Saccharomyces cerevisiae S288C: one gene and its partners. The main gene of each other region encodes a partner of the protein of the gene in region 3 in a complex. Each region holds a gene or a part of one and is shown on either strand. Other genes may lie near its edges. A codon is read from its position in the direction of its gene.

Region 1 (3,943 bases), on a different chromosome or scaffold from region 3:
AAAATCTCTACCACTACTTTTAAAAGGCTACATTCCATCTCTGGTCAAGTTACCATTTTTTATATATCGCCTGGGTAAAGAAGTTGATTGGGAGGATGAACAAGAGTGTCTAGATGGTATTTTAAGAGAGATTGCATTACTCTATATACCTGATATGGTTCCGAAAGTCGATACATCTGATGCATCGTTGTCAGAAGACGAAAAAGCCCAGTTTATAAATAGAAAGGAACACATATCCTCATTACTAGAACACGTTCTCTTCCCTTGTATCAAACGAAGGTTCCTGGCCCCTAGACACATTCTCAAGGATGTCGTGGAAATAGCCAACCTTCCAGATCTATACAAAGTTTTTGAGAGGTGTTAACTTTAAAACGTTTTGGCTGTAATACCAAAGTTTTTTGTTTATTTCCTGAGTGTGATTGTGTTTCATTTGAAAGTGTATGCCCTTTCCTTTAACGATTCATCCGCGAGATTTCAAAGGATATGAAATATGGTTGCAGTTAGGAAAGTATGTCAGAAATGTTATATTCGGATTGAAACTCTTCTACAATAGTTCTGAAGTCACTTGGTTCCGTATTGTTTTCGTCCTCTTCCTCAAGCAACGATTCTTGTCTAAGCTTATTCAACGGTACCAAAGACCCGAGTCCTTTTATGAGAGAAAACATTTCATCATTTTTCAACTCAATTATCTTAATATCATTTTGTAGTATTTTGAAAACAGGATGGTAAAACGAATCACCTGAATCTAGAAGCTGTACCTTGTCCCATAAAAGTTTTAATTTACTGAGCCTTTCGGTCAAGTAAACTAGTTTATCTAGTTTTGAACCGAATATTGTGGGCAGATTTGCAGTAAGTTCAGTTAGATCTACTAAAAGTTGTTTGACAGCAGCCGATTCCACAAAAATTTGGTAAAAGGAGATGAAAGAGACCACGCGCGTAATGGTTTGCATCACCATCGGATGTCTGTTGAAAAACTCACTTTTTGCATGGAAGTTATTAACAATAAGACTAATGATTACCTTAGAATAATGTATAACCTTTAGTAGTGAATCTGCGGTATCATAATAAATGAGATACATCTTAAACAATTTCCAGGAAACAGTAGATATTTGAAAAAGTGCAATAAATTTTTGAAATCTGCTGTTATTTGATCTAAAATCTTCTTCCAACGAATCTACTTTGTATTGAAAAATATCGAGCTCCCTCCTTATAGCATCCAATGTTTTTAAGGGAGGTTTAGAACTCTTGTTCAAGTATTGATCTAAATCTCTGTCTAATGAGATGATTTTCCAATACAAGACCTCTGTGCTGTTTTCTTCCCTGTAAACATCAACGTTAGGCAAATCCTGCAAATATGCTGCATGTTGTAATAGGGAGGATACTTCTGTATGAAGTGCAATTGGTTTGCGTGGCCCCGATTGAAGATAATCGCATCCACACAGGCGATAGAATATTCTTCCCAAGGTTACTTTAGCGATGCTTTCAACGGGGTCATCATTAAGTAAAGGTCTAAAGTCATCCACATGAAAATTTTTAAAGGTATGGATGCACTGTGTTAGGAGCGAATTTGCCAACAACGGTTCATCGTAGGGGAAAGTTGTAGTGGCTAAAATCAGATATGCTTGAACGAGCCTTATATCGGGATGCGCCATGAAATCACATTGTTTCAATTGGAATAATGAGCAGCGTGCAAAATTTTGGCACATGACTAATTGCATACCATCTTCCCAATTGAGCCTTTTGTTGCTACCCAAATATTCATGGAGAGGATATACTGAAAATATTTCTGCTAACTTCTCGACTGGCATATAATAAATGCACATGGTAAAGACAGACCATATTAGTGCGTCCCAGTATTTGCCGTCTACACTGTGATTCTTGTCTGCCCTTCTATCCCAGTACTGTTCCACCCTCAAATATAATTCACTGATATCTCCAATGGAACCAAAATACAAAGCACCTAAGTTTTCCATAGCAAAGTTCATCAATTGGAATGATTGGTCTTTTTGAAGATAATTCATCCAAAACATACATTCTTCAGTATCAGTATCCAAATTAGCTGGTGTTCTAGTAAGATCTCTTTGTTTTGTTTTGTACAGCCCAATATTCGTTATCCAATATTCATAATTTTGCCAGAATAACAATAGGTCAGGGAGATATTCCTTGGAAGATGAAGCCGTTATTAGTTTTGTTGATTTCATACATTCGGAGTCCTGTCCTCTCTTCCTGCAGTTTCCACACGGTATCATACGATCACATTTGACTTTTCGCCTCGTACACACGGAACAGGGATGCTTGGATTTCAGTTGAGTGGTACGGTTAAACATTATTATTAGGATGCAAACTCGTGTTCGTAACTTTTGTCATCACCTGCTCTCTGAAGGTTGGTTATAATATTTCATTCTCTTACGCTTAGCTTACATGGCTGCGCGCACTTCATTTAAAGCCGTAAAAAATAAAGATTTCATAGAATATGAAGCTTTGAATCTCATGTAAACATTTATATAACTATGTAACGAATTATTTATCCAATGAAAGATCCACATGGACTGATTTTATTTGTAAATAGTTATCAACGCCGGTGTCGCCTGATTCTCTACCAATACCACTCATCTTAAATCCGCCAAAAGGAACTTTAGCTTCTTCTTGATTGGTTTGATTGATCCAAACAGTTCCTGCTTTAATATCGCGAGCAAACATGTGCGCTTTCTTGACATCTTTGGTGAAGACCGCAGAGGCGAGCCCGTAGCAAGTATCATTAGCCAGCTTCAGAGCGTCATCATAATTTGTGAACTTGCTAACAACCACAACCGGGCCAAATATTTCATCACGCAGCAACTTAGATGTTTCTGGTACATCAGTGAAGATGGTTGGGGGAATGAAGTAGCCTTTAGCTCCACCAATAGGAAATTCAGAGGTCTGGAACATGTCCAACTTTTCCTCCTTTTTACCACGTTCTATGTAACTTTTGATGCGGTCATACTGTGTACTTGATATAACTGGACCAACGATGCATTTCTCATCAAACGGATCAAATTTTCCTGCAACATCCCACTCCTTCTTTGCAGTTTCTTTAAACTTTTCAACAAACTTGTCGTAGATCGAACTTTGAACATAAACTCTTGAGTTTGCAGTGCAGATCTGTCCCGAATTAAAAAAAATACCATTTGCTACCCATTCTATAGCCTTATCAAGGTCTGCATCTTCAAATACAAGAGCAGGAGACTTACCACCGCATTCTAGTGTGATATCCTTAAGGTTCGATTGGCCGGAAGCTTCCAATACTGAGCCGCCAACCTTAGTACTTCCCGTAAAAGATATTTTGTCGATATCCATGTGGGTTCCTAAAGCTTTCCCCACAACGGAACCATAACCAGGAATGACATTGACAACACCAGGTGGAAAACCTGCTTTTTTAATTAAAGTAGCAAAATAAAGTAGAGATAGAGAGGTATTTTCAGCAGGTTTGATGATAACCGTGTTACCGGCCGCTAAGGCACCTTGCATTTTTCTACAAGCCATAGCTAGAGGATAATTCCATGGAACGATTTGAGCAACAACGCCAAAAGGAACTTTTAGAGTATATGCAAACTTGTTAAAAGTCAATGGAATGGTTTCACCCATATTGAACTTGTCGACCGCCCCCGCATAGTATCTTGTAAGTTCTATAATCTGGGCTAAGTCTTGTTTAGCATTGGAATGGAAAGGCTTACCAGCGTCTAAAGTCTCTAATGCGGCAAGTGTGTCTTGCTCCTCCTCAATAAGTTTTAATAAGTTTGAAAGATAAATACCACGTTGCTCAGAAGATGTCTTCGACCAAACGTTATCAAAAGCAGCCCTGGCAGCTTTCACAGCTTTGTCTACATCCTTTTCGTTAGCTGCTTGGAAGGATGTTATCGGTTCGCCAGTAGCTGGGTTCACAGTTTCGATGGTCTTTCCATCT
Region 2 (4,488 bases), on a different chromosome or scaffold from region 3:
TGAAAAACTGAAAACGGAACAGATGTTTCAAAACATAACGCTTGATAACTTGAAAAAAATCAGCAGAATCAACTTCTTAACGTTAAAAGTTCAAGAAAACTCTTGGGCCAAGAACCATCAGGAATATATTATTTAAAAAATGGTTGCTACTTTCAAGAGCATCGATTTCTTATTTGGCGCGTAAAGAAATTTTAGTCACTTCGGTTATTACGCATTTTTCCAGCTTTTATTTCTTTGATTGCTTTTATATTTTTTTAGATCATTTTCAAAACTTTCTTAAACCCTTCTCAACTAAAAACTTGTACTTTCCATATTTTCAGGGAAGAAACATTAATTAATAAACGGCACCCTTTTTGTAAACACAATTAAAATTGAACATACAAGCAGTTTAGCTGCAGTTTATATTCAATAAAATGTACGAAGTTGTTATTGTACTTTTTTACTGATTATATAACTACTTATTAAGCTATATTATCTAAGTATGAGTCAATGCTTATTCTCTGGGAAAGGTCATGGTATTATAGTTGTCCTCGTTAGACCCAAAGAAGTAGAAATGGATTCCAAAGACGACGACGAGGAGTTTACGGGATTGCTAACGTAGTTAATTTTTGAAGCTTTGCTGAAATCCAGAATTTCTAAAAAGCTCTGTCCATCTTTTTCAACTGCTGCAACAAGTGTTTTGCCCTTAAAATTAACCGACCAAATCTGATCAGCATCTTTTAGAATATTTGCGTGGACCAATTTCCCACTCCGTAGATTATAGATGTTGAACTGATTTTCCGATCCACTCACCAAAATATTATCCGATACATAAAATGTGGTAATTGCACTCAAATTGGTATGATGGTAGGAAAATTTTCTAGAGTAGTCGTTTGCGTCCCAACCCCTTATTGAACCGTCTGCAGCGGCACTGACCAAAAATTTGTCGGATAATCTTAATAAACCGACCAAAGCTGTATGACCCTGCAAAGTGTACATAGCACCAAGTATTTTGGCGCATGGCGATGCTGAATTTGTTGCGTAGGAACATTCTCCATTATTCCATATATTTTCCAAATCCCAAATTCTAATAGTGGTATCCATACTGGCAGAGATGCACCTTTTTCTTTCATGATCGTAGATTGTCGAATAAATACGATCCGTATGTCCACTTAAAATATACAAACATTTCATTTGCGCAACATCCCACACAATCAGTGTATTATCATAGGAGCCACTAACGACAATATTACCGTGGCCTGAGACAGTTCTTACAGATGCCATATGTCCTCTTAAAACACCAACAAAATATGGGTTCTCCTCAGGGGTATGAAAGACTAATGGATAATCATGTTCTTCCCCATGATCAGGAACGGAGGACTCCTTGGGCAATTTCCAAACGTGCAAAGTGTTATCTCTCGAACCAGTAACAATGTACTTGATATTTTTATATTCTACTATATCTAGGCACCTCACCGTAGAGTTATGACCTTTAAACACATGGGTACAACAACCTTTCTTAATATCCCAAACTCGCACCGTTCTGTCTGTAGAACCGCTGACTAAAATACCGCCATGGGCATACTTCAATGCCCAAACCCCACCATCATGACCTGATAGTTGTAGAAGAAATTTCTTGTTTATCGAATCATAAACTCTGATCATTTTGTCATCAGCCCCCGTAATGACATAATTATCTTCAAATTGCAAGCACGTAATAACACTCGTCATATGGCCTCTTAACGTGGTCCTTTGTGGTACAAACTTGGGATTGTACCAATTTTTTAAAATGAATATATTCTCCAGAAAAGATAATCTAAGGCGATCTTGTTGTGAGAGTTTTGGGTATTTTTGGGAGAGTTTGAGATTGAGAGAATTAAAACCCTTTGGGCTCACAAAATTTTCCGATATCAGAAGTTTTTTCCACAACGATGTAGATTTTCTAATTATTTTGTTCCAATTTTGGGAGACCCCAAGGGAATTTATAATATCCTCGAATTGCAAATAATTGAAAATTTTCAAACTTATTTCAAAAGGCAAAGACGTTATTAGGTCCCTCTTTAAATTATCCTTGATTAAAGTCCCCAAGTCGGATAGTTCACTCCTATCCATGTTGGCAACTAATCTAAATAATAAATTTTTGAAGTATGCGTGAGGGAGATTATTGTTTATTGCGCTGAAAATCTCATCAGAAAGGTATTCAGGGGAGATTATAGAATCTTTGGATTCTATCAAATCGGCGATATTATTATTGTTGTTGATAGTTTTCGTAGTTTTAGCTAAAGGAGTTGTGGTACCTGGAGAGGAAGCAGTGGGTGATAACGGCAGCGCTCCTTCCTCCATAGGATTGTTAATAGTAGCACTATTAACATTGTTACTAACATCACTGCCAGTTATTGTTGCCGCATTGACGGTAGTGGGAGCAGCAACATTATGAGATGCCACTCCCATGTTTACACTCAATGTAGAAGGTGCGGCAGAACCATCATCCACAGACATCAAAAGTTTTTCTGCATCGTTGGATATATCTGTTAAATTGTGCAGACCGTCATTATCCACAGACGCTGCACCGGTGTTCTGTAAGTTAACTGGATGGAGGGTTTTGTGATTATCATGTTTTACCCTTTTGAAATCACTGCGTTCAGGAGTGGATTCGCCAGAACCAGCTGCTCTTTTCCTCTGATACTCATCGATATCTTCTTCGCCGTCTTCTGTCTCAACTGTCTTAGCCGTGGACGAGTTTCGATGAGTGCCAGCGGCAGTAACAAGCGCAGTAACACTACCTGAGGAAGCTATACCGCCAGACACACGGTAGCTATAAGGAACAGGGATATCACGTAATGGAAACTCAGCTAAGGGAAACGACCCCATCGTACAGCGTAATTTTTGCCTTTCTTTGATTCTTTATGCGTAATTTTCTTCGAACCGCAACAAGTTGAATGAGGAGAAGAAGAAGAGAATACTGTAAATAAACGTTTTTTTCCCAAAAAAGACACTATATTTTAAGCACACAGAAAAAGACACGCTTTGTTGAGCAATCTATATTCATATAACAGTGGTAATAGCCTTTCTCTCACAAGATATACAAGCGCTGTGACGTTTTAACGTATTCAGTATTATTTCAACAGGCTTTTTTGTTTCGTCCACCTGACCGAGCCGGCAGCTGGAAGAAAAAGTTTACTTTAGTCATGATAATCAAAAGACTCTTTCTGAATTGCTTTTATCACTCACTACAAGAGAGTCGATAAAAAAACCCAAAACATTTTAAAGTAATGGCTCAAAGTAAAAGTAATCCTCCTCAAGTGCCTTCTGGCTGGAAGGCTGTTTTTGATGATGAATACCAGACTTGGTATTATGTAGATTTATCTACGAACAGCTCTCAGTGGGAACCACCAAGGGGAACAACATGGCCAAGACCCAAAGGTCCTCCACCAGGTGTTAACAATGAGAAGAGTTCTCGTCAACAGGCAGACCAGGCTCCTCCACCTTATTCTTCTCAATCAACACCGCAAGTGCAAGCAGGGGCCCAAGCACAGCAACCTCGTTACTATCAGCCTCAACAGCCTCAGTACCCTCAATACCCTCAACAGCAGCGTTACTATCCTCAACAAGCCCCTATGCCAGCAGCAGCACCACAGCAAGCATACTATGGAACTGCGCCAAGCACCAGTAAAGGTAGTGGACACGGCGGTGCCATGATGGGTGGTTTACTTGGTGTTGGTGCGGGTTTGTTAGGTGGAGCTATGCTAGAACACGCATTTGACGACCACAACTATGACGGACCAGACACTGTCGTTGTCGAGAACAATTACTACGGTGATGATGCTGGTGGGTCCGACGGCGGATTTGATGATGCTGGTGGGTTCGACGGCGGATTTGATGATGGATTTGACGGTAGTGACTTTTAATGTTATCAAGACTTTTTGGACAAGGACGATAAAATGATATAAGCTCATCAAATCTATATTGCTTGCTGCCATCTAAATATGGATACATACAGATATATACTTGCAAAGATCGGTCCATTATACTACATAGAAAGCAATTAAAAGATAAAAAAACCCATCATGATATTCTACGCTTTTTTACTTAGCCATGTTGTTGAATGTAGCTTCAATTACTTCTGTCTGTCTAATTTATTGCTACTTTTTCACTTCTAAGTGAACCATCACAACACATATAGCATAGTCGAGAAAAAAATCAATAGCTATTACTAGATGATAGATACCGTATATGCCACCTACAGCTTACTAGAGAGCTTCCGGAATGATAGTATCATTTATCAAACTACCGGTATGGTTGTGTATTGACTGCGCCTCTCAATCTATGAAGCAGCACCACGCCTTATCGTGGCTATGCGCGATATGACCGAGCTTTACAACATACTTTTCAATAAGCCGTTCTTTGAATAATGGACCCTTTCCTATAACCTAGTGCGCGTTTAAGGTGTTTTGTTCCAATAATAGAAGCACCTATCCACATACTTCACATACAGATACACTAACTAAT
Region 3 (2,929 bases):
AGCTAAGATGTCGTTAACAAGTAGTAGAGTTTGCGTGAATGTATGAATATTTCCCTTTTTCCTTAAAAATTCCTTGCATTTTGGTAATCGTGTGTAATGATAAGGGCGTTATTCGACTTATATGAGCATGGGGTATATTATTGAGGTAGTTAATACTAGTCATCGTAAAAGCAGAAGCACGAAACAAGGAGGCAAACCACTAAAAGGATGGCCCCAAATCAAAGATCACGTTCGCTTCTGCAGAGACATCGAGGAAAGGTACTCATTTCATTGACTGGAATAGCTGCTTTATTTACCACAGGGTCGGTGGTAGTGTTTTTCGTGAAGAGATGGTTGTATAAACAGCAGTTACGGATTACTGAGCAACACTTCATCAAAGAACAGATCAAAAGAAGGTTCGAGCAGACACAGGAAGACTCGTTGTACACAATATACGAGCTACTTCCTGTATGGAGAATGGTTTTGAATGAAAACGATTTGAATTTGGACAGCATCGTTACCCAATTAAAGGACCAAAAGAACCAGTTGACTAGAGCAAAGTCTAGTGAAAGCAGAGAAAGTTCGCCGTTAAAAAGTAAAGCTGAGTTGTGGAACGAGTTAGAACTAAAGAGTTTGATCAAGCTGGTGACAGTGACGTACACAGTATCGTCGCTGATTCTTTTAACAAGACTGCAACTAAATATCCTGACAAGAAACGAGTACCTGGACTCCGCAATAAAATTAACCATGCAGCAGGAAAACTGCAACAAACTACAGAATAGGTTCTATAACTGGGTTACATCGTGGTGGAGCGATCCGGAGGACAAAGCGGATGATGCAATGGTAATGGCAGCAAAAAAGTCAAAGAAAGAAGGCCAGGAAGTGTATATTAATGAGCAAGCTTTCCTATCACTATCATGGTGGATTCTTAACAAGGGGTGGTTGAGTTACAATGAAATAATTACAAATCAAATCGAAATTGAATTTGACGGCATACACCCAAGAGATACTCTAACGTTAGAAGAATTTAGTTCTCGTCTCACGAACATATTCCGGAACACGAATTCCCAAATATTCCAGCAAAATAATAATAACCTCACGTCTATTTTGCTTCCTAAAGATTCCAGTGGACAGGAGTTTCTTCTGTCACAGACGCTTGACGCGGATGCTTTAACAAGTTTTCACTCTAACACACTAGTTTTTAATCAATTGGTGAATGAACTGACCCAATGTATCGAAAGCACAGCAACATCCATAGTGTTAGAGTCTCTAATAAATGAATCATTCCATTTCATAATGAACAAGGTCGGCATAAAGACAATAGCCAAGAAAAAACCTGGCCAAGAAGATCAGCAACAGTATCAAATGGCAGTTTTCGCTATGTCGATGAAAGACTGTTGCCAAGAAATGCTTCAAACAACTGCCGGGTCTTCCCATAGCGGCAGCGTGAACGAATACCTGGCCACTCTGGATTCTGTGCAGCCGCTCGATGATCTGAGCGCCAGCGTATACAGCAACTTTGGCGTCTCCAGCTCGTTTTCCTTCAAGCCTTAATCTCTGAATAAGTACTGACACTCACACCAGAATATATATATATATAGCGTAATCTTTAATACAGTAAGTGTGCAATAGGTAACATGACATTACCCTGCAGCGATTTAACGGGCGTCTTGGAGAAAAGAAGAGAAAGGGAAGAAATAGGTTGATATATTGAGGGCAGAGAAAGTGATAGCCCAACGTTGGCAAAGATATAACAGAAAAGACGTTATAAACAATACAGGAATACTAACAAACGTAGCGCAGATATGGTGACTTCTAATGTTGTCCTAGTGAGTGGTGAGGGTGAACGATTCACCGTAGACAAGAAAATCGCGGAGAGATCCCTGCTATTGAAAAACTATCTGAACGATATGCATGACAGCAACCTACAAAACAACTCAGATTCAGAATCAGATTCAGACTCGGAAACGAACCACAAAAGCAAAGACAACAATAACGGTGACGACGACGATGAGGATGACGACGAGATTGTGATGCCCGTGCCCAATGTTCGGTCTTCCGTTTTGCAGAAGGTTATCGAATGGGCCGAGCACCACAGAGACTCTAACTTCCCTGACGAAGATGACGACGATTCCAGAAAGAGTGCTCCCGTGGACTCATGGGACAGAGAATTCCTGAAAGTGGACCAAGAGATGCTATACGAAATTATTCTGGCGGCAAACTACCTCAACATCAAGCCCTTGCTTGACGCTGGCTGCAAGGTGGTTGCTGAAATGATCAGGGGAAGGTCTCCCGAGGAAATTAGAAGAACGTTTAATATCGTCAACGACTTCACTCCAGAGGAGGAGGCTGCCATTAGGCGTGAAAATGAATGGGCTGAAGACCGTTAGCCTACATTTCCTCTGATGACTGTGATCCTTTCTTCCGATGATAATGCGCCATTTCAGAGCAAGATAGGCAAAAATAAGCAAACAAGGCTTGCTGTCATGCAATGTGTACGTTAGTCCACCATAACCAAGCATGTATGAATTATATATGTATACAGTTTACATAAACTTCAAACTACAATAAGATGTGTGGTCCATCGTCGTGTGTAGCGATAGGCGTCTTCTAAAAGCCGCAAAAGTGACAAGAAGAAAAAAGGAAAATTATTGAGTTATAAAAGCTATTGTTTACATGATGAGACGGGATAAATTTAGGACAGATAGCTGTAAACACTCCGTTTTGAATCATATTTGTGAAATATTTGGTCTAAATTTTAAGTCAAGTTTATTTTCTTCGAGCATTTCAACACCAGCTTAACCCTTTGCTTTAAATTATTCATCTAAAATAGGGTATATTGATTGCTAATCACATATAAATATATAGAAGCAGCAGCTGTACAGATATCCCTAACCAATGAGGGATGAAGCTACTCGCAAAAAAAGGTCATTTAGTGATGGTCATTTTT
Region 4 (3,995 bases), on a different chromosome or scaffold from region 3:
AACTGTAAAAACTCCTGAGGATCTAGCCCAGTGCGACGCCTTAATTATTCCCGGAGGAGAATCTACGTCGATGTCCCTCATCGCTCAAAGAACAGGCTTATATCCTTGTTTATACGAATTTGTTCATAATCCGGAAAAGGTAGTTTGGGGTACTTGTGCTGGTCTCATCTTTTTAAGCGCGCAATTAGAAAACGAAAGTGCCCTAGTAAAGACTTTAGGTGTGTTGAAGGTCGACGTGAGAAGAAACGCATTTGGAAGACAAGCTCAATCTTTTACACAAAAGTGTGATTTTTCCAATTTCATACCTGGCTGTGATAATTTTCCTGCTACATTTATTCGCGCACCCGTGATCGAGAGAATTCTTGATCCTATCGCGGTTAAAAGTTTATATGAATTGCCAGTGAATGGAAAGGATGTGGTTGTAGCTGCAACGCAAAATCATAATATCCTTGTGACTTCTTTTCATCCAGAGCTTGCTGACAGTGATACAAGATTTCATGATTGGTTTATCAGACAGTTTGTTTCTAATTAAAATACCGCCGGTTTTCCACATTTTTATATTACCAAAACCTGAGAGATTTTTTCACATCGATAAATCTCTACTCGTTTACTATCGAACAATGCTCTAGGTACGATGATATTGTTAAAAACTTCAGATACATTTTGTAGCTTGATATGGTTCAAAGTCCGAAAAGATAGCCAAACTATTGCTTGACATCGAAGGTATGTTATTTGATTAATTTCACTTTTGTCAAGCTCTTTTATTCTTGTGTGTCGTAAATTAAAAAATTTTGTGAATTTACTATCATCTTCCTTTATGTACAACGATTTAAAAGTTCTCTTATCGACTTTTAGTTCCTTTAGTATATTTTCCTCGATGTTCCACCACTTGATTTTACTTACACGTTTCATTGTCAGAGATTTAAAATTTTTGGGAAAGACAATGCTATTCAGGTCGATGTAAGCTACTCTACTTAATACAAGCTTTTGCAAGTTGTCCCATCTTGTAAAGTCAGCTAGTCCGGTTCTGGAAATTTGATTCATGCGTGATAGGCGTATTTCATTTATCCTACGTTTCACTATGTAACTAATCGTTTTACCAGGATTGTCTCTGAACCCATGAAAATTTATTAGCAACTCATATAATTTCTCTCCTCTCACAGTGATCTTCCGCAGGCTCTTCATGGATTCCATACTTCTTATTGTTCTTATAACAGAAATACTTGTTAGTTGGTTGTGCGTTGCTCCCACATTGCCATTATCTGAATGTGATCTTTTGGATGCTGACCTTTTCTTGTTTTTAATTGTGGAGCTAGGTGAGGAGTTTTCGTCAGAATTAGCTCCACTAACATCAACATCTTTCTCTTCTCCTACTTCTTCATCTTGTCCAAATTGTACCTCCCCGATTGTTGCGAATAAATCTTTCTGTTCTAAAATTGATAAGCATTTGTCTACTAGTTGTGGAGTTAGATTATCAATGTTGAATTGAATATTACTTACATTAAGTAAGTCAAGCTCGTCAAAAGCAACACTGTCTATCACCCACTTCTTGTACTCTTTAAAAGTATACCAAACTTCTAACATACTGGCCTTATTGAAGTAGGCCAGTCGAAGTTCATTATCAAGGTACGTCCATTCTAATGCATCTATAAGCGTTCCGTCATAAAGATGGTTTACTTTGAAACAGTCCAAAACCAGGCAATCATAGCGCAACCAAAATGCATACTCAAGCCATTTTTCAATGAGTTGCGGAGAGTATTCGAAAATGTTCAAATACGTGGCAAAAACAGGATACATGTATCTCAATAATTTCTTAGATCTCTTAGACCTTTTATAACTTGGTTTTCCTGGAAGCTCCACATCATTAGATTTGTATAATATATCTATTGGGTAGGGATGTGCTCCGCAAAAATTACCATCTAAATGGAAGTAAACTTCTTTTCTAATGTCAATTGGTAACTCTAAGAATCTAACAGGATTGAAAGAAGGCATCAAGCGACATGGACTTCTGGGGACTCACAGTCAGCTTTCTGTTGATAGCATCTCATCTCACAATGTTTTGTTTTCAAGCCCTCGAAGGTAGTTAAACGCGAAAACGTATCAAAATGCAAAGCACTCTAAAATGAAATTTATACAGGTTCCTTTTTTCAATAAAAAGAGAAGATATTATTTTTTTCGATTACAATGAGAAAGAGATATATATGTATGCCTGAATATCTATAAAATAGATACAAATTAAAATCTATATGCTAATATTTCCTTAACTCGTTAAAAGTTGAAGCATACCTTCAATTCTTTGAGCTTCTTTAGACTTATGAATTTCATGTCTAACTTTAGTTTTCAAATCTATCATCAATTCTTGAAGAACTGGAGAGCTTTCTAACGTATTCCCATATAATTCTAAAACCACGGCGACCCAATCCGCTACAATAGATGCTGATCTCACATCTTCAATACCTTTTAAGCACCAATTCAGTAGCGGCTCTAATGTAGATTCATCTCTACCATATAGCGCTACACGAACTTTGCCACGTTTGCGTAGTTCTTGAAGAACAGTAAGTGTCAACTCTTTGGCCATACCTGGTACAAAGGCATTGTCGAGTGCTTCGCTCCATTTAAACTGATTTATGTTCCTTTCGAATGCACGCATACGACGTTGAGATCTTACCTTATCATTGTGGATTATATGCTCTTGATCACCTTGGTATTCCGAGCCTCGCATCATTCTCTGGAAGTTATTACTTTTCGCATTCTTATTAAAACTGGCGGGTGCGTTTTCTTTATCGGAAGAACGTTTCTCTTTCTTTTTAGTTCTAATGGCTAGTAGTCCTGATGATAAACCTGCTACTAAATGCCTATTCCCTTGTGCGGTACTAGGGGAGACAGCACAACTTAGTACGGGACCCGAAAATTTCCAGCCAAATTTGACTTGGAAATTGTCTAAAGGATCAAAGACTTTGACATGACCATCTAAGGAAGAAGCGATCAACGCCGATTGCATTGGAGAATCAAAATTTTCAACATAGTCCAAGCATGTCACAGCCTTATTGAAATTGCCACGTTCGTATAATTTCTTGTTACTGGTCAAGTCCCACACTTTGAAATTATTGCCACCGCAAGAAACAATTTGGGTTGGAGATACTGCAATAACATTTTCAACAGGTTGGTCATGATTCAGAGAATAAATTGGCGTGGATCCGCTAGATCTTGTGTCATATAATCTGATCAAACCGTCGTATGAGCCTGTTGCAACCAAATGTGGGGCTGCTGGGATAAATGATAAGGTACGAACATAGTCAGTAGCTCCGGTGAGCTCTAATTGTGGCTCATATGCGTTGGATATATCCCAAAGTCTTGTCACTCTATCGTCACTCGCCGTAGCCAGAATTTTGTTATCTTGCGTATGGAATTTCGTAACATGTGTGGGATGTGTGGAAGCGTTTATAGATAAAAGGATAGTCCTGGGATTATAACTGTCGTATACAGACACTAAACCGGTAGCATCACCGGCACAAAGCAATTTACCATCACTCCTAAAGGATGCAGAATAGACAACATCTTTAAATCTTGAAAAGGTCTTGATCACTTGCCTAGTTCTTGAAGAAAATATTTGAACTCTGGTTGAGGAAGTTACTGCAAAATCATGAGGATGTTGAGGATTGAATGATATGTGAGTAACGCTATTATGTTCTTTAACCAGTTGTGCGGAAGTGTATTGACGCCAGTAACGCTGCTCCGGGGTAGTCTGTTGAGGCAATAATGGAGCCTTCGAAGTGATTATTCTAGGCCTAGCAGTCGACATTTTATTTCTATATTATGATCCTTAGGCCTGTTCTTAGCAAAAACTGTTTCAAGGGACTTCTATTAGTGATGGGCATCGTTTTTTCTTCAAAGCTCGAAAGTTTTCAAAATTTTTCAGTTATTCCAAAAATTTTCAAAAGATAATTATCACTAATTACGAGGTATGTAGGTCACAGAACGTTAAATATTATGCT

What was found.
Region 1: the proteins of SKP1 (region 3) and CEP3 are in contact, whole or in part, in a cryo-EM structure (PDB 6GYU), measured with the Saccharomyces cerevisiae proteins. Residues at the interface, in NP_010615.3 of Saccharomyces cerevisiae: Leu27 (codon at 1,863), Leu28 (codon at 1,866), Lys30 (codon at 1,872), Asn31 (codon at 1,875), Tyr32 (codon at 1,878), Asn34 (codon at 1,884), Asp35 (codon at 1,887), Met77 (codon at 2,013), Pro80 (codon at 2,022), Asn81 (codon at 2,025), Asp104 (codon at 2,094), Glu105 (codon at 2,097), Asp106 (codon at 2,100), Leu136 (codon at 2,190), Asn139 (codon at 2,199), Tyr140 (codon at 2,202), Asn142 (codon at 2,208), Asn171 (codon at 2,295), Ile172 (codon at 2,298), Val173 (codon at 2,301), Asn174 (codon at 2,304), Asp175 (codon at 2,307), Phe176 (codon at 2,310), Thr177 (codon at 2,313); in NP_013891.1 of Saccharomyces cerevisiae: Lys11 (codon at 2,297), His12 (codon at 2,294), Ser45 (codon at 2,195), Thr46 (codon at 2,192), Lys47 (codon at 2,189), Arg374 (codon at 1,208), Arg375 (codon at 1,205), Asp378 (codon at 1,196), Gln381 (codon at 1,187), Tyr382 (codon at 1,184), Asp385 (codon at 1,175), Lys400 (codon at 1,130), Leu404 (codon at 1,118), Ala425 (codon at 1,055), Asp426 (codon at 1,052), Leu429 (codon at 1,043), Lys430 (codon at 1,040), His433 (codon at 1,031), Tyr434 (codon at 1,028), Val437 (codon at 1,019), Ser440 (codon at 1,010), Asn444 (codon at 998).
Region 2: the proteins of SKP1 (region 3) and CDC4 are in contact, whole or in part, in a crystal structure (PDB 3V7D), measured with the Saccharomyces cerevisiae proteins. Residues at the interface, in NP_010615.3 of Saccharomyces cerevisiae: Ser113 (codon at 2,121), Asp127 (codon at 2,163), Gln128 (codon at 2,166), Glu129 (codon at 2,169), Leu131 (codon at 2,175), Tyr132 (codon at 2,178), Ile135 (codon at 2,187), Leu136 (codon at 2,190), Asn139 (codon at 2,199), Lys144 (codon at 2,214), Leu147 (codon at 2,223), Asp148 (codon at 2,226), Cys151 (codon at 2,235), Lys152 (codon at 2,238), Val154 (codon at 2,244), Ala155 (codon at 2,247), Ile158 (codon at 2,256), Arg159 (codon at 2,259), Gly160 (codon at 2,262), Arg161 (codon at 2,265), Pro163 (codon at 2,271), Ile166 (codon at 2,280), Arg167 (codon at 2,283), Arg168 (codon at 2,286), Thr169 (codon at 2,289), Phe170 (codon at 2,292), Asn171 (codon at 2,295), Ile172 (codon at 2,298), Val173 (codon at 2,301), Asn174 (codon at 2,304); in NP_116585.1 of Saccharomyces cerevisiae: Asn269 (codon at 2,046), Leu270 (codon at 2,043), Lys271 (codon at 2,040), Arg272 (codon at 2,037), Asp273 (codon at 2,034), Leu274 (codon at 2,031), Ile275 (codon at 2,028), Ser277 (codon at 2,022), Leu278 (codon at 2,019), Pro279 (codon at 2,016), Ile282 (codon at 2,007), Lys285 (codon at 1,998), Ile286 (codon at 1,995), Tyr289 (codon at 1,986), Leu290 (codon at 1,983), Asp294 (codon at 1,971), Ile296 (codon at 1,965), Asn297 (codon at 1,962), Ser298 (codon at 1,959), Leu299 (codon at 1,956), Gly300 (codon at 1,953), Val301 (codon at 1,950), Ser302 (codon at 1,947), Gln303 (codon at 1,944), Asn304 (codon at 1,941), Trp305 (codon at 1,938), Asn306 (codon at 1,935), Arg310 (codon at 1,923), Arg352 (codon at 1,797), Leu353 (codon at 1,794).
Region 4: the proteins of SKP1 (region 3) and CTF13 are in contact, whole or in part, in a cryo-EM structure (PDB 6GYU), measured with the Saccharomyces cerevisiae proteins. Residues at the interface, in NP_010615.3 of Saccharomyces cerevisiae: Lys30 (codon at 1,872), Asn101 (codon at 2,085), Phe102 (codon at 2,088), Asp104 (codon at 2,094), Asp106 (codon at 2,100), Asp107 (codon at 2,103), Asp108 (codon at 2,106), Asp109 (codon at 2,109), Ser110 (codon at 2,112), Arg111 (codon at 2,115), Lys112 (codon at 2,118), Ser113 (codon at 2,121), Gln128 (codon at 2,166), Glu129 (codon at 2,169), Tyr132 (codon at 2,178), Ile135 (codon at 2,187), Leu136 (codon at 2,190), Asn139 (codon at 2,199), Lys144 (codon at 2,214), Leu147 (codon at 2,223), Asp148 (codon at 2,226), Cys151 (codon at 2,235), Lys152 (codon at 2,238), Val154 (codon at 2,244), Ala155 (codon at 2,247), Met157 (codon at 2,253), Ile158 (codon at 2,256), Arg159 (codon at 2,259), Gly160 (codon at 2,262), Arg161 (codon at 2,265); in NP_013812.1 of Saccharomyces cerevisiae: Ser3 (codon at 1,986), Phe4 (codon at 1,983), Pro6 (codon at 1,977), Val7 (codon at 1,974), Arg8 (codon at 1,971), Phe9 (codon at 1,968), Leu10 (codon at 1,965), Leu12 (codon at 1,959), Asp15 (codon at 1,950), Ile16 (codon at 1,947), Glu19 (codon at 1,938), Val20 (codon at 1,935), Tyr21 (codon at 1,932), Phe22 (codon at 1,929), His23 (codon at 1,926), Leu24 (codon at 1,923), Asp25 (codon at 1,920), Asn27 (codon at 1,914), Phe28 (codon at 1,911), Cys29 (codon at 1,908), Gly30 (codon at 1,905), Arg58 (codon at 1,821), Lys61 (codon at 1,812), Tyr65 (codon at 1,800), Met66 (codon at 1,797), Lys86 (codon at 1,737), Glu89 (codon at 1,728), Tyr90 (codon at 1,725), Phe92 (codon at 1,719), Trp93 (codon at 1,716).

What each region holds. Positions count from the first base shown.
Region 1 is NC_001145.3:596,832-600,774, forward strand, and holds CEP3 (Cep3p), read right to left. Parts: upstream 2,328-3,943; coding exon 501-2,327; downstream 1-500. Other genes in the region: mismatch repair ATPase MLH1, read left to right, coding at 1-364; aldehyde dehydrogenase (NAD(+)) ALD3, read right to left, coding at 2,521-3,943. UniProt on the Saccharomyces cerevisiae protein: Acts as a component of the centromere DNA-binding protein complex CBF3, which is essential for chromosome segregation and movement of centromeres along microtubules. CBF3 is required for the recruitment of other kinetochore complexes to CEN DNA.
Region 2 is NC_001138.5:114,507-118,994, reverse strand, and holds CDC4 (SCF ubiquitin ligase complex subunit CDC4), read right to left. Parts: upstream 2,851-4,488; coding exon 511-2,850; downstream 1-510. Other genes in the region: WWM1 (Wwm1p), read left to right, coding at 3,252-3,887; AUA1 (Aua1p), read right to left, coding at 3,721-4,005. UniProt on the Saccharomyces cerevisiae protein: Substrate recognition component of a SCF (SKP1-CUL1-F-box protein) E3 ubiquitin-protein ligase complex which mediates the ubiquitination and subsequent proteasomal degradation of target proteins. Recognizes and binds to phosphorylated target proteins.
Region 3 is NC_001136.10:1,124,874-1,127,802, reverse strand, and holds SKP1 (SCF ubiquitin ligase subunit SKP1), read left to right. Parts: upstream 1-1,784; coding exon 1,785-2,369; downstream 2,370-2,929. Other genes in the region: PEX3 (Pex3p), read left to right, coding at 208-1,533; YSP2 (Ysp2p), read left to right, coding at 2,878-2,929.
Region 4 is NC_001145.3:453,822-457,816, reverse strand, and holds CTF13 (Ctf13p), read right to left. Parts: upstream 1,993-3,995; coding exon 556-1,992; downstream 1-555. Other genes in the region: SNO1 (putative pyridoxal 5'-phosphate synthase), read left to right, coding at 1-532; snoRNA-binding rRNA-processing protein UTP15, read right to left, coding at 2,261-3,802. UniProt on the Saccharomyces cerevisiae protein: Acts as a central component of the centromere DNA-binding protein complex CBF3, which is essential for chromosome segregation and movement of centromeres along microtubules. CBF3 is required for the recruitment of other kinetochore complexes to CEN DNA.